Linked DNA regions of Oreochromis niloticus. The main gene of each other region encodes a partner of the protein of the gene in region 2 in a complex. Links are inferred from orthologs where the notes say so. Each region holds a gene or a part of one and is shown on either strand. Other genes may lie near its edges.

Evidence for each region.
Region 1: the proteins of gpsm2 (region 2) and insc are in contact, whole or in part, in a crystal structure (PDB 3RO3), measured with the Mus musculus proteins. The link is inferred for Oreochromis niloticus from reciprocal best matches to the Homo sapiens genes GPSM2 and INSC. Residues at the interface, in NP_083798.2 of Mus musculus: Asn210, Tyr213, Leu214, Phe218, Arg242, Ser246, Asn247, Asn250, Ile253, Phe254, Tyr265, Gln283, Tyr286, Ser287, Asn290, Thr291, Thr293, Leu294, Arg323, Trp326, Ser327, Asn330; in XP_006507722.1 of Mus musculus: Val72, Asp73, Ser74, Val75, Arg77, Trp78, Met79, Asp81, Leu82, Lys83, Leu84, Met85, Thr86, Glu87.

Annotation. Positions count from the first base shown.
Region 1 is NC_031972.2:42,885,480-42,893,035, forward strand, and holds the start of insc (protein inscuteable homolog), read left to right. Parts: upstream 1-4,433; 5' UTR 4,434-4,696; intron 4,697-7,556. UniProt on the Homo sapiens protein: May function as an adapter linking the Par3 complex to the GPSM1/GPSM2 complex. Involved in spindle orientation during mitosis. May regulate cell proliferation and differentiation in the developing nervous system.
Region 2 is NC_031982.2:13,949,671-13,957,419, reverse strand, and holds the start of gpsm2 (G-protein-signaling modulator 2), read right to left. Parts: upstream 3,025-7,749; 5' UTR 2,835-3,024; intron 2,097-2,834; 5' UTR 2,058-2,096; intron 384-2,057; 5' UTR 315-383; intron 1-314. Other genes in the region: protein AKNAD1, read left to right, coding at 4,824-5,028, 5,358-6,442, 6,582-6,656, 6,756-6,867. UniProt on the Homo sapiens protein: Plays an important role in mitotic spindle pole organization via its interaction with NUMA1. Required for cortical dynein-dynactin complex recruitment during metaphase. Plays a role in metaphase spindle orientation.

The DNA.
Region 1 (7,556 bases), on a different chromosome or scaffold from region 2:
CGCCATTAAAGATCAGCATACCCAAGGCCCCCCCCACAACGGCTGTTGTCTTGTGCCTTGATGTAGAACAATTTACATGAACATGATTGTACAGTTTCTGTTTAGAGACAATAAAGAAGACCCGAGCGAGGATGCAGAAAATGAAGACCAATTAATATTGTAAACAATATTGTGAAAACAAGTTTCAGCAAGATTAAAATGTATTTTAGATACACTCGGGTTTGGGGTACTTGTGTTGTTCTTCAAAGGTTTTTAAGCAAGTGTAGAAGGACGCTGAGTGACTGTGAAGTTGATTATATAAGGAGAAGTTTATATTTGTATTATTAATACTGATAAATACTGTCCACAAATTACGAATGATGGAATCTCACAGGCAGAGAGCTCTTTGTAAGTCGCTGATTAGAAATCTGACACTATTTCCCACTGACGAATGCACAATCACGTCGTGAAAACATGTAGCACACGTTTATAATTTGGCAAAGTATTGGAAAGAAAAACGGAATCCACAGTCATACACACTCCTGTTGCACAGCTGAATGTGTGAACACATCAGTTTCATTGGAAATATTTCTGATGACACCGCAGTGGCATGGATATGTTACAATACATGTTGATACAAGAAAAAAACAGTGCATGGGGAATTGCTTAATAAAATGCAGCCAAACCTGCCGTCAGAGTTGTTCTTTAGCTTCAGTGAAGGTAAATGTTCACCACTTATTTCAGCACACAAAAGCCAAGTCTTGATTTTACAAGAAAGGCTTGGCCGTAAATGTTATCTAAGAGATTCAGCTTGTACCTTTGCACACATTGTTTTTTTAATTGTGAAACATTAATAGCTGCATGATTGAACATTTTGCGGCTCACTTGTTTTTGCAGCAGAACTCCAATAGATGGCAACATAATTACCAAAGTTTCAGTGAGTCTCACAGATCTGCCTCAAGTGATGGAAACACTGAAATAGTCATCTCCATATAAGTTAACTCCTTGATTAAGCTTTTTTTTTCTTTCATTTTCCCAAACAATTAACCAAATGAGGAAGAATATCTGAACCTAGAAAAGAGTGAAAAGCAAAATGAAAAGGCACAAGTAATAAAATGATTATATGGGTTTTGTGTTTGAACTCTTGTTTGTTTTGTTACGAAGATAAAGACCTGCTGAACTCTCATGTAGGTCTATGATGAAGAGAAACATATAATCCAAGAGTAAATCGAAGACTATTTAATTCTTGAGTGGTCATTTGTAAGACTGAGAAGAGTACAAACTACATAAAAGGCTCAAAGAAAAGTGCACATCATTAGTAAGCAACAAAAAAATGACTCTAGCTGTATTTGGAAAATTATGTAACAGGAAATCAAATATTTAATCACATTAATTGCACAAACTGGAAAAGATAAATATCATACAAATACATTATTACCATTTTATGCTGTATTTTCCCAGGAATAGCACACTTTGAGTGTACTGCCAGTAGTTTCAAACCATTTGATGTGAAGGGTTTCCAAGCAAAATCACAGACGGAGAACTAAAAACAAAATACTTGAAGGAGGGATAAATAAAGGCCCTACAGTTTTGGATAGCAAATACGGGATTGCAAGTCAGGAAACTGAGGGGATAATGAGCCCGTTCAATAAGGGTGAAAGTGAAAAACAGGATATGGTTGATCCTATTTGGCTGCACGGATGAATGCCAAGTGTGCACCAGAGCAAATGCAAGATATCTGAGTGCATCGTGCACGCAAGAGTTGTCAGTACCATGAAAGCAAATGTACTTTTGTCAAACATCGTATTTAGTTTCTATGAATTACATCGACTCTGCGAGGAAAAATGGCAACCGATCAACATCAGGCACGCTAGATCAGTGCTGTAGACATTTAGAGAAATAAATGTTTGGTCTTGATTCTAGCCGCTCAACTGGATGACTTATTATTTCCCCGATGACAGGATATGTCTGACTAATATGTGAACTTATGCTATGGGAGTATAAACAGAAAAGGAGATTTGTGCTTCATTCCTTCTCGAGCCTTCAAACCCTCGTCTGTCAGTTGTTTTTACAGTCTTTCCACTTATTCTTTCTTGCTCTCACTATCTGTCTGCTTATATGCCTGAGGAAATCGCTGCTGAAGTTGAATCCATGCTGGAATCCACATGGAAACTTTTCCTGCATGACAGATAAGGAAAAAAATAAACCCTATATTCTGATAATTGAGGGGGGTGATAGGTTGAGGGTTGATTTGTGGGGTTGGTTTGGTTTTGGGGCTTTTTTCTCAGCAATAATCTTACAATCTCACTATGCCAATGAGAATAACAGTCATAATGGTATGCAGCTGCTTTTTAATGGGGCCCTTGCAATTGGAAATTAGACAGTTCATATAAGAAAACCAATCATTTGGCCCTCTACTCCAAAGAGAGGATGCACTGCTCGTCCAATTCCAAGAAATCTACACCACAAACCAATTTCAAAACCTGGGGTTTTGGACGATGCTTCGCTTGAACGATTTATTGGAATAGTTTGAAATTTGTGGAAAATGAGTCATATTTCAATGTATCTTTTAATCCTTGTTATTTCTTAACAATGTTTAATAAAACTTTGTCAGCACATACAAGCAACCAGAAAAATGTAGCTGCCTGGCAGAACTATATTTCCACCACCAACGAGGTTAGGTTTTTGGTAGGATTCTCTCTGTAAACATGATATCTTTAAAAGTTTTGAATGAAAACTAAGTAGGGGTGCAGAGTGGGGTCATGTTAACAATTCATCATAATTTGCCTTATATCCACCAAGGTCTTCAAGGTCAGCTTAATGATTTATCGGTCAAAAAATTGACAAAAAGTCTTAGAAATTAGAAACTATGATTCCCGTGTACTATCAACATATAGAAAGTACCGTATAAGGATTTTAAAAAAAATCATATTACATTTGACCTTTGACCTCTTATTCAAAGTGCGTAGAAGTTTTAATAATGCAGAGTTATTTAAAACTGTTTCTTACTGCTGTTGATTGTACTGAGGGCTTTCTAAATATCTCATTATTTTCATTATTTTATTTTGACTTTGTTATGAACAATACAGTAGCAGGTTATAACTGTTATATTATATAATGTAATATGCTACTCATGTACTATGTCCACATAAATAATAATAAAAAAAAACAATTGTACTCAAAATTATGTGAAGTATTTTAAAATGGGTTTCAACACGGCAAATAACAAAAGACACACATTTTCTGACTGCACCACAAACTCAATATTTAAAAAAAACAAAGAAAATAAATATAAAGAAAATACAATTTACTGTTTCATTTTTGTCACATTGAATTCTTTTTTTAGTATTATCATTGATGTCTTTTTTTTTAATATAGTAATGTGATTTCCTGCACGTATGTAGCAATAGCATCATAACATCAACAGTAATCACTTAGAAATATTTAAATCTTTAGGTACATATATCAGAAAAAAATGAAGGAAGTTTAAAATAATGGCTCTGATGTGATTTTGACTATATTTACAATTAAATTGTGTCTGGCTGAGGATTACCTTCACACATCGCAATGTGACTCTCAGTCTGCTTTTGACTCTCCTGATGGTTTTGCCAGGAAATGAGGTAAGATTTCTGAGGAAATTAGGTGTTTATGTTCAGATTTCAACTAAAGCTAATATTTATCAACACCCTAAAGTATAACAGGCCTGTGTTGTGGGCATGGGAGTGCGTGTGTAGTGGTACCCGCTTCATAAAGTCACATAATAATTAGTCACTCAAGAATACGTAGCAACACTAGTGGCAACAACCCAGACCAGCTGAGTCTCAGTTGTAATGGGAACCAGCCGACAGCCGTTTATATTTTCATTTTCCTTCCTCATTTTTAAAGCCTCGAGTTTTTCCATAAGGTAGTCATTTCCAAGGCTGACGTGAAACCAGACACCCATGAGTACTCATGGTAACGGTCCAGAAACAACATAAGGCTGGGCCCAACATCCTTTCACCTTCCCCAATCCCCCCATACCGTCTTGTGAGACTGCTCCTGAGAAGGTAAACACCCTTTCACTGCGTCAGAAATGAGATTTCTTTCTGCTGCGATGGCAGTTCCTTCAACTGGCTTTCTTTCTTTCTCCCCCTTGTACTTCTCCTCCCCTCCCTCCCTGTGCTGCCACATCTGGAACCCAGCTCCTCATTTATTTATGTGGTCTGTTGTGTTTCTCTTTTTTTTTTCCAAGAGCCTTATTTTAAAGTCCTTTACCTTGTCTTGTTGGCAGTTTCTCTATATCTGATGAGGTCTACAATTACATCCCACCATAACTGGTCACTCTGCAATTACATGCTCCACCACAGAATCCCCCCCACCTCCTCTCTCTGAAAAGCACCACTGCTCATATGGCAGACCAAAATAGACTAGTTTCATGTCTGTTTGGATGGCAGCCCAGCTGAAACTATGCTCAGCTGCTTGACTGACAGTGGGATGTGGGTTTGTTCTCCTCAAGAAAAACCTTTAAGGCCAGTCACGTTTACACTCTGAGCAGTCTTACTGCAGCAGGCTTCAGAGGTGGTTGGTCCAGCTGGGCTCCGAGAAGGAAGACAGAGACTAAGTCAGCGTGAATGAAAGTGAAGACACACAGAGAGAGTGTGCTGAGAAGTACTACGAGCTGTAACTATGAACCCGACTGGACACGCTTAAAGCTTTCAGTTGCTGACAAAGAGAATGGGTAAGTTTTGCAAAGAGTTCAGTCTGATCTCAAATTCTGGGAATAGTGAAACGCTTCTGTCAAGGAACTTTGGGAAACTTTAGCTTGCATGACTTAGCTGTGAAGCATTCAAATACAAAACTTAAAAGAGAATGCAGGGCATCTGTGGCAGATCATCTGGTTTTTTCCAAGCGCTCACAGACTTTTCCAGTTGGCGATGCTGTTGCCGTGTTGAGTAAGGTGCAGCTGGAAACTCATTAGGGATGTGAATTATTTAAATCTCATAAGCACAGGAGACGTGAAAAGCAACCAAGCTCAAAGTGTCAGATAGGAAAAGGACACAAAATTAAGTTCGGATCTCTAGAAGTCCTACAAAAGTGTAAATACTTTTGAATATGGTTATTAATGATCAATACATAATACTCACAAGTCGTCAGCATATGCGCTTCCTGCTGTAGGTTTTTCATTACCTTGGAACTTAAAATGAATGTTATTGGAATTTTGGTAAGTCCAGTGTTTGCTCCCCTTTTGCTCTGTTTTTGGTCTCTACCAAGCTGATAGCTTTAGCTGCTAAATTCTGCACTATTTTCTTCAGTTTTAACATCATATTATTTTATAGTGCTACTTAGTCATAAAAAGAATCTACAGGATAGAACTTTTTTGCTGAATCAGCCTTCATACATGCGCTACAAAATGAATCATCAACATAACCAAAGAAAAACTCCTCTCTTTCAAATAACAGTTAAAACCATCATCATAGCTGACTGACTCGTACACTTTACCCCGTCTTCTAAATGCTTTTGTTATAATCGAATTAAGTATGAATGGTCCTTTTGGGATACAGCAAAGTTTTCTCAGATGCGAGGTATTCTGCGCGTTTGTGTTTGAGTCACATTGGAGTTGAACTCCACCGTGTTCAACTCCAACTTTCTGCTATAACTGTTTAGAATAGGCTGACCTGGTTCGTGTGGGAATGATGGAAGCTCAGACTCTGCAAAACAACAAAGATTACAATGAGGCCGGTGGTAATGATGAGGACACATGCCTTTACTACAGGCTTCTGTCTGTTTGTGATGTGGTTGTGAGCAATGTGTGTATGCATGACAAAGGCAATTAGTGACTACATGAGAGATGTGTCATGTTTTTTCATATGAACCCTGAGAGTTTATAGGCGCTACCACGCTGGTCTGTTCACCATATCCATTTTAGGAGATGTTACCTGTGTTCTCAGTAGAAATGTATGAGTAGAAAAAAAGACCACTGACCAGCAATATTCAATCTGAATCAGAAGCATTTCATGTCCAAGCAAATCCCTGTGTAATTATGTGCAAAACAACAGCACACAAGACCTAACGGTGAATCTCTGTAGATTCAATACATTATGATAATGCAGTGTTGTAATGGTGCACTCTTAATTTATGCTCCAAGCAAACGATAAACACCCAGTTTTATAAACCATGACACAAGTTGACTATTCAGCTTAAAATAGGCCAGCAGTATTTGTGGATGATGATCGAACCTAAGCTGTTTGTCATTGGAGAGTAAACATTAATATGAAGTCAAAGCTGAGGTGCAGATTTTTTAATAAGTTCTTATCCACAGACTATAGACTGAGACAGCTACATGATTATTCATTTTAAAGAATGATTTCAGCTTCCGTAATGTAGGCTATAACCCAATGTGTTCATTAGGACTGTCACGATGTTAAAGATCAATGTCAAGCATTAAGAAAAAGTACTGAAAAACTATAAACTCATATTTAAATTTAACAGAATGAAAGACGTTCTCATCAGGTTATAGCCTGATGAACATACTAAGCACGTGTTTTTTTTAGCTAATGTTTATGACTAGCTTGGCTCCCACCTCATTTTCATTGCTAAGCTTAAGTGTGTTGATACTAATAAGTACTCTACTGCAGTGCACAAGTACCTAAATGAAAAAAGTCCAAAAGTTGGTTGCCTACAATCTGTAATTGTAACAGAAAGGAAGAGATTGCTCATCAGTTTTCAGAAACATGGCGATGCCAGGTCTCGCTAGCTAGCTAGTAGCATCATTCCCCCCATGTTGAATTAAATAAGTGCATGGTGTACACTGTGTACTTAAAGTATCTAAATACAAGTAGACAAAATGAGACAATGTGCAACAATTCTTTCCTGTGGTTTGGGCCTCATAAATTCTCTTACTGGAGATGAATTTAATTACATTAATTTAAGTTGACTGCCATTTTTACATTTAAAATTTATCTATTCGGAGAGGCTGCAGTCTAAACAGAGCTCAGACCTTCCTCTTCCTCATTTTATATTTAAGCAGAACATTATCAAACGTTTATTCTCAGATGACAGGTTACGACTGCTGTTTCCCTTAATATCTGTTTAGCACTTCTTCTAATAATACAGTACATGGTTGCTTAGGGATAAATCTGCCATGATTCTCCTCTTGCCTGTCTGATGAACAGCTTAGGAGGGCGTGTTGTGGTCAGCATGAACCGCACATGCAGGTGTGGCCCTCACTGTGCTGCCACGCTGTTTAATTAGGTTTTCGGGTGTGGAATATCAGGGTTTCCGCTGTAAAAAATGTCGTCTCTCCACAGTCTCACCCCCACACATTGTCCTGTCACATTAAAAGAGTGCCAGTCTAGATGAACAGTTACTGTCACTGAGGGTGTGGCTGCTACTAAATCTGGAAACATGAAGCTGCACTTGACTCCACGGAAGTCTGGCTTTTGAGAGCTCATTGCCAAAGCATTATGCAGTCAGAACCGTGTCTGTGATGCTGAAGTGGTTTTTTATACTGAACATGAGAACTTCTTTCATCTATCAAAAACTGTCAAACCCTTTCAGTATATTTGCTCCTATAATTAAAGGCTCCTTAAAGTTGCTGA
Region 2 (7,749 bases):
GTTGTGTGCTCCACAGGTATAGCAAAGCAGGAGGAAAAAATATCTACAGTGTGTGTGAATGGAAATCATGGCCTAGGAAGTAGCTGAAAAGAAAGAAAAAGCAACCAGAAACCTGCTGCATGATTGGTTTAAAACAAAAAAAACAAACAAACAAACAAAAAATCTCCCCCCAAAAACAAGGTAAACTGAGAATCTGGGAAAAAGCAGAGAGACTTGCTGCATGTACGCTACTTCCACCAAAGGAAAGGACAGCAATAAGCGTGCTACATGGAAAGTAGAGACTGCTTCAAGTAAAAATCTAAACCAGCCATTACCTAATTTCAGCATGAGGTTATTCTTGCCACACCCATTAGTTCCCCAAGTTTAAACCGTCAGCTCCTCCCCTGAACGCGCGCACACACACACAGACACACACAACCACAATATGGGAAATGGGGCAGGCCAGTTATTTGCAAACTGGGTTACATCTTTATGTTAAATAGCAACTAAATTACAAGACAGACATGCAGTAGGTGGCCTAATGAGCCATAATGAGTGATTATTTGTTTCCAACAGAGCATTTGTTCAGCTACATCAAAGATAAGCTGGCTCAAATTAAAAACCCCAAAATGAAGAAGTGATCAGGATGGTAGTAACAACTGAGAATGGTCATGATTATAATTAGATTATGTGATTGATGAGTGCTATTTTACAGTCAATGAAACATTATATTATATTAGGTAATATTGCTTACTAAATTTACAAATCCATACATAACAAGAAAGCCAATATTCACAAAAACCTAATATCAGGAACTTTGATTAATAAACTGTTCCTCTTGTTAAGTATTAGAGTTAATCATTAGACCCACAGCAGCACAAAAAGGTGCTTTGATAACAAGAAACATCACTTCAATTCAATTTTCATTTGAGATTAAAGACAAAAATCTCTAAGGCACAACGCAGTAGAAACTGAAAAAATCTATGCTGCACATACAGTGCTTAACAAACGTATCCAACCACAACCCAATGGAAGGTTCATGCCACACTGCCCTTAATTAAATTGTTAGTTACCAAAACATTTTTATATTTCTATTATATTAAATCCACTACTATGTGCAAAGTCTTTTTTTTTCTTTTTTTTTAGCTTTTCTAGCTAAAATGTACTTTTTGTTATTATCCAAGAATATTCAAATTTACTATTTTGCAAAAAACCTGAAAAAAATAGTGAAGGACAATAATTATATATTGTTTTTTATATAAACTGTAATTTGAGTGTACAATAGCAAATTTTGTTTGTTTGTTATTTGTCTACTAAATAACAACATAATAACAATATAATTTTTATTTTTAAACAAGTTTTTGAGAGATTTCAATTTTTTGCAGTTTTTAATGACATTTGAATAACAGCAAATCTCTCTCAAACTCTGCCCTGAGTGTGTACATATACACATACAACCTGTATGTTGTATGTGTATATACACACACACACACACACACATATATATGTATGTATATATATATATATATATATATATATACATAGTTGGTGGAGTCAACTTTTTGACAATCCTGTTATTCCTGCTGCTCTGTAAATGATTGTAAATGGTTGTGATTAATGCCCAGAGCTTTGGGAGCTTTACCGTACATGTTCCTGCACATTAATATAATGATCGACTGTTGTGTGCCAACATCCTTGCAGCTTTTTCCAACACCATATGCCATCTGGGTGTGTTTCTGAGAACTCTGTCTGGCTCATAAAACTACAGTGTGCATGAACAAAAGTGAAACAGAGAAAAGTTACTGATGCATAAAGGTCCAAAGAAAGAAAAATAAAGATGCCGTTTTTAATGACAGCTTCACGGGAGCTAATCGCCGACTCCTTTTTGAGTCACAAACAAGAACATGATTTCATCCTTAACACACAACCGATATGAGCTATTTTCTATGTTTTGATGCTCTAAAATGACTACTGCCTCTGACAACAAAACCTAAATATGGAAGCACCACTTGGCATCACACCATGAGGCAGCAAAAAAACCCCACACCAAAACAAAAGTTAAGTACTGGGATACTGACCGGTAATTCTTCCACACAGGAACAGGAAATCTGGGAAGCCTGGAAGAAACAATGTTACAACCATAAATAACCTCAAAGTTCATAAACATGTGTTGCAATGCTGGCTATTCAGGGGTTTTTTTTATATTAAAACAGGGCTTAATACAGACTACATTAAATATTGAATTACATTACACTTGATGACATACACACAGCTACACCTACCTAAAGGATAGACTAAATAAACAAAAAGCCGGTTGCACTAGTTACAGTTAAGTGGAGCTAATATGCTGGCAACTGGGTATATTGTGTACACCGTATAGTAATAACAATACAATCAGATGTAGAGGTATACAAGACTGTGCGTTTGAGTGCATGCTCTCATGACCATTACTACACTAACATGAGTGCAACTACGGTAAGAAATGAATTACGTACGATAAAAGTGGTCATAATCATGCAATATAAACCAACTGCACAAGTATAACACTTGTTAGCAATACACTATAGCCTATACCAAACTATATACTATATACCAAACAGTAAAGCTATGCCCTACACTACACTAATGGTGACAATTCATCTATAGATTTTTAATATCAGCTCCAGTGATAACTACTTTAAAGTGAAGAAATTACTTCGCATTATGGACACCACTGTCAGAGCTATGGTGTCCCAGATTAGTTAATCTTATGGCTGTCTCTTTAGCTTTATTCATAACCAGTTAATTCATTCACACATCACCACCAACATCCAGCTAAAGACTAGCACCGTTAGCCTGTTAGCTGCTAAACTTACGTTAGGCGATCCAGCTCGAACAGAGGTGACTTGTCTTCTTTTCTTTAGTGTCTCACGAGATTAAAAACATGGGTGCGTTTACGGGGGAGAAAAAAAGTGGACGCCTGTAATATAACAACAAGCTGTACTATATTCAGCCTACGGCTACATTATCCTCCAACTTCGGTAAAAACTTCGATTTAACTTCGATAAATACGAAGAAACCCCTTGCGGGTGCACTAGCTTTATGTGTTTTCGCCAAGTAGCCAATCAGAGAGCGGCATTCAAATTTAGTCACGCCCCTGCATAAAATTCATTGGACGAACCGATTTGAATGGTGAAGGGTGACGTTTTTGTGATAACGTAGCTGAGACAAGCACGAGCTTTATTATGTTTGAAAGTTTGACACGCCTTGCACACTTGTGGGGCTTCGGCACTGTGTTAATACACATTATTTAGGAAGGTGAAAGTCTACACATTCCCATACTTATTTTTAAAGAGAGAATAAGTATGTAATGGCCAATAGCCCAAAACTGTCACTTGCTAGCAGCCTTTTGGAGGACGTTTCAGCACCGTTACCTAGCAACGAGACCCCGCTAGTGTCATGCACGCTGCTGTCACCGCGGGTCCAGACGTTCAGCGCTGCCTTGTATCCATTATTAATGATGCCACAAAAACGAAACCTGTTCAGGAAGGCATATGTCAAGAAAGAAGGGGGGAGATATTAAACCATCGCTGCTAGTTTCAAGACCGGGATCAACTTAAAGGTAATGGCACACTGCTGAAGAAGAACCAGCTGGCTAAACACAACCAAGGTAAGTGACCACCGCCAGCAAAGCATTTCAGTGGCACTATGTCACTGAAATGCAGCTCAGACTTACATGCAGAAACAGTACAGAAGCTTAAACGTGTTTGGTAACACTCACATGTAACTTGTAGTAGGAGATATATGTACTTTATATACTTTTGCTCCACCGCTCTTATGAAATGTAGTTATTACGGTTATGGTAACAAGTACCTGAATACATATATCACATGACAGATTTTGTTAACATACATGCAAAAACTTATGATCTATTGAAATATCATATCAGGCTATTATATAGGTATAATTAACTCTATATTAATGATGTGCAATATTAACAGATTCCTATGTGTTGCAAAATGTATTTTACAATTTGTTTTTGTATAGATAATAGTTTTATATTATGACACAGACACTTTTCTTTTAGCATAGTGGTTTTTTCTTGGTTCAGAGGGTCAGGGGCTACACAGCAGAGTCGTTATGATATTGTATTTTCTAATTGGGGTTTTATTTAATTTGATTTTGTGTTTTTAATTCAGTTTAGTTCACAGAGTGTATTTATATAGTTTAGCTTTTAATAGTTTCAGTGTTAGATTTAGTCTTTTAAATTATTATTATTGTATGGAGGGCATGTGTCAGATGTAAGATTTAGGAAAATCAGTACAGGTTTTATATTGAAAACACAGCTTTTAGAAAGCAGTTGACTGACAGTCTTGTGCACATCTAAAAATCTTAGTATTCACGTCCATCAGTGCCTCATCAGTCACATTGTGTCTAAATTTTTAGCAAAGTCACAGATACTAAAACTAAGGATTATTTCTATTCTATGAAGGAAGAACCCATTTAAAACAAATTATTTATTTCTGAATGAAATAGATGAATTACTTTTTAAAAAATATTTATCTATATATTTATTCATAAGCCTTCTGCTGCTGTCAGACACTCAAAACAGACACAATGCGTTTCATCCAAGCACATAATTAACTCAAAAACTTTACACCCTTGCGGCACGCAATCTTCTGTGCACACATTGTATTGATTGTTGAATAATTGACACCTTAGTGCTTTTTGATCCAGTGTTGTCACTCTGTAGGTTGCGTTGCTAAGAGATGAATGGTGCTTCGTTCAGTTTTCTCACCCTCCTTTTTTCTTAACAGAGGTGAGGAGATATTGAACAGTGCATCCATTTTTCTGTTGCAGAGTCCATGGAGGGAGACCTGGGAGAGTCGGATGAGGATGTTCAGGGGGAGGACAGATCCGTAGTGCTGTGGGAAAAATGCATCGAGCAGAGCTTCTTTGTTGATCTCAGTGAGGATGAAAGTCTCCACTTCAGTGATCTGGAGAGTTCTTTGGCCTTGCATCTGTCCCAGGCAGAGTCTGCTGCCTCTGAAGCAAGCATCCATCTTAGTGGTAAGACATGCAAGCACTGTTGTTTATTGTGTCAGGTTTCTTGTATACTACGGTGAATTACTGCGTATGTGATGAAAAGTTTAGATAAAACAAATTTTTTAATAATACATCATTATAAATATGTTGGCATGCAGGATGTTAAACATCTGCTATGTTTTTTTGCTCACTTCAGGTGTGACAAAACAAATGCAATGACATATATTTTTTGCAAAGTCATGAGCTAGTTTTCACTCTCATCATTAGCCTTAAAAATCACAACAAGCTAATTTAATGGAATCAACATGACCCTGTAATTAGGTTTTCATGGTATTTGGGTTTTTAATTTGCAGGGGACGCGGAGCTGTCTGGGTTGGATGACTCCTCCTCAGAGAGCAGTGTGGGCAGTCAGAGCGGGAGGGTTCTAGAGAGCAGTTCCAAGAGAAACCTCTTACATGTGTCTTCCCAAAGATCAAAAACCATCCAAGATGAGCTGCCCATAAACCAGGGAAGTGAGGACACTGGACAAAATACCAGTGATGAGGATCAGGAGGACTTGCCATATGATGGGAACATTGGAAGCCCTTACTTCAACAAGAAAGATTCCTCTGAGGGAAACATTAGCTCTGATGGAGGACACACTGTTCATACAAGTCCTGATCTTTCTGGTCAGCTTGAATTATTGCAAGACGATATCAGCACAAAGCAGGACAACGTTTTTGATGCTTTCAAGCAAAGTGAGCTTGGTGGACCGCATCCTGGTGCTGCAGACATTAACCAGTTATTGCTGCGGCACTTCTCCCAGGAGGAATTGCTGCGGCTGGGTAGGCTGATCGAGGCAGAGACCCTGCCAGAGGTGTCCCTGTTGGAGAGTGCAGACGACAGTGTTTTTAGCTGGGCTCCAACACACAACAGCAAAGCAGTGAATAATAACCACACAGAGAGCTCAGATGAAAAGAGTAATGCTGCATCAAAAAAAGCAAGTTCAGAAGAGCAGATACAAAAGAAGACTCCTACTTTCACATCTGGTGCTTATGCAAACAGCACATCCAACTCTGAAAGTACAGATTCTAAGCAGAGCAGTGAGGATTTCAGTGCAGATGAAGTAAAGCAGGACAAAGCAGATGAGGAGGAAGAGCAGGTTCAGAGAGTTCCTCTGGTGCGTACAAGATCCTTCAGCGAGATGAAGTATGGCCAAGGCCAAGTCCATTACCCGCTCCCTGACTTCTCCAAGGTTGCCCCTAAAGTGAAAATCCCCAAAACCCCAGCCAGATCACTTCCTCAGTGCCCTAGCACCATTCACAGAGCTCAGTCTTCCCCAGGCATGTTAGAGGTGATCAGCAGAGTCTTGGAGGACTCAGTCCTGCCAGCCGGGAAAGCTAATGTCTTTAAAGATGAAGAAAAGCACACTCCTCCTGCACTGGTGCACCATCTGCAGGTAGAAAGCATTCAGATCATATCTTTGCATTGCAAATGAACGTTAGACTTTCATTTTCTTTAGCTGATATTTTCTGTCATCATTGCATTACTGTTTTCTTAGATAGAGCTGTAACATCCATCCTCTCTATTTTCTTTAGGCTGAATATGATAAATTACTCACCAAATACGCAGAGGCAGAGAACCTCATTGATCAGATGAGACTAGGAACCAGTGTAAGTTCTAAGGTTTCTTCCTGGTGTAATTCACACAGGCCTGTGTTAATTAGTTACATTTCAAATGTAAGATACAAAGGTATTTATTGCTTTTCACAGAATCATCCCTCCTCAGAACTCATGCCTTATTTAGAGGATGATGATGAAGATCAGGGGCAGTTAGCTGAGCTGAGCCATCTTGGATACAAAGCTCCTCATCTTCCCTCATCAGGTACGGCTCCGTGTCCGACATCTGATATCATGAAAGGTTAACTTCCTTCTACTACATGAAGATAAAGTCTGACTGGATTCCTCAGAGAGTGATCAGTTTAGATGCCACATTTTTTAATGAAACTTTTTAATGAAATTGAAAAAGTAACTGAATATTTATGACAAACCAGGCCTGTGTATCTTTATTTAAACACCGAATGATCAGAAAGTCGAGTTAAACACTACGTTAAAGGCATGTTGTGCTCAGGCCGGCAGCTGCTCTCCAGTTTTTTGTCATTTTAGCTGGAAAATAGATTGAGTATTTTATTGAATCCAGTATTTTGTCTTAGTTTTGTGGTGCCTCACAAATATTTTGCATACATAGAAGAGGAAAATGCTTCACATTCATTGTGATCCCTCCATACAGTCGGTGTGTGGCTCCTGTCCAGCTATAAGACGCAGACAGTTAAGGGTTAATACTACAGAAATGAAATGTGCCATGATGTGTTTGCGCTTTTTATTCATTTTAAAAGGCCATTCTGTTAGAGTAACCAGCTGCTGGCTGTGAGCACGGCTGCAGCTGCTCAGCCTTGCTGTGGTGATTGAAGCTGTTTACGGACACTGTTGTTGTCCTCCAGCTGCCAGTGTGGTTTAACTTGCACTGCTGTAGACAGCTACAGTAGCATCTGAGCCTGCGGAGCATCACTGACGGGGACTTGGACAGTGAATCCATCACTGGGTGCACATAAAAATTGGTGTATAATGTTACAGCAAATAAAAACAGTCATGTTAAATTCAGAGTTAAGGTGGCATGTCATTCTGCTGCAGTAATCACAGCTACAGTCTGTCTCTACGGCTGTTATAATAAAGCTGCAGAACCAGTTAATCCAGCACCCTTTGTAAA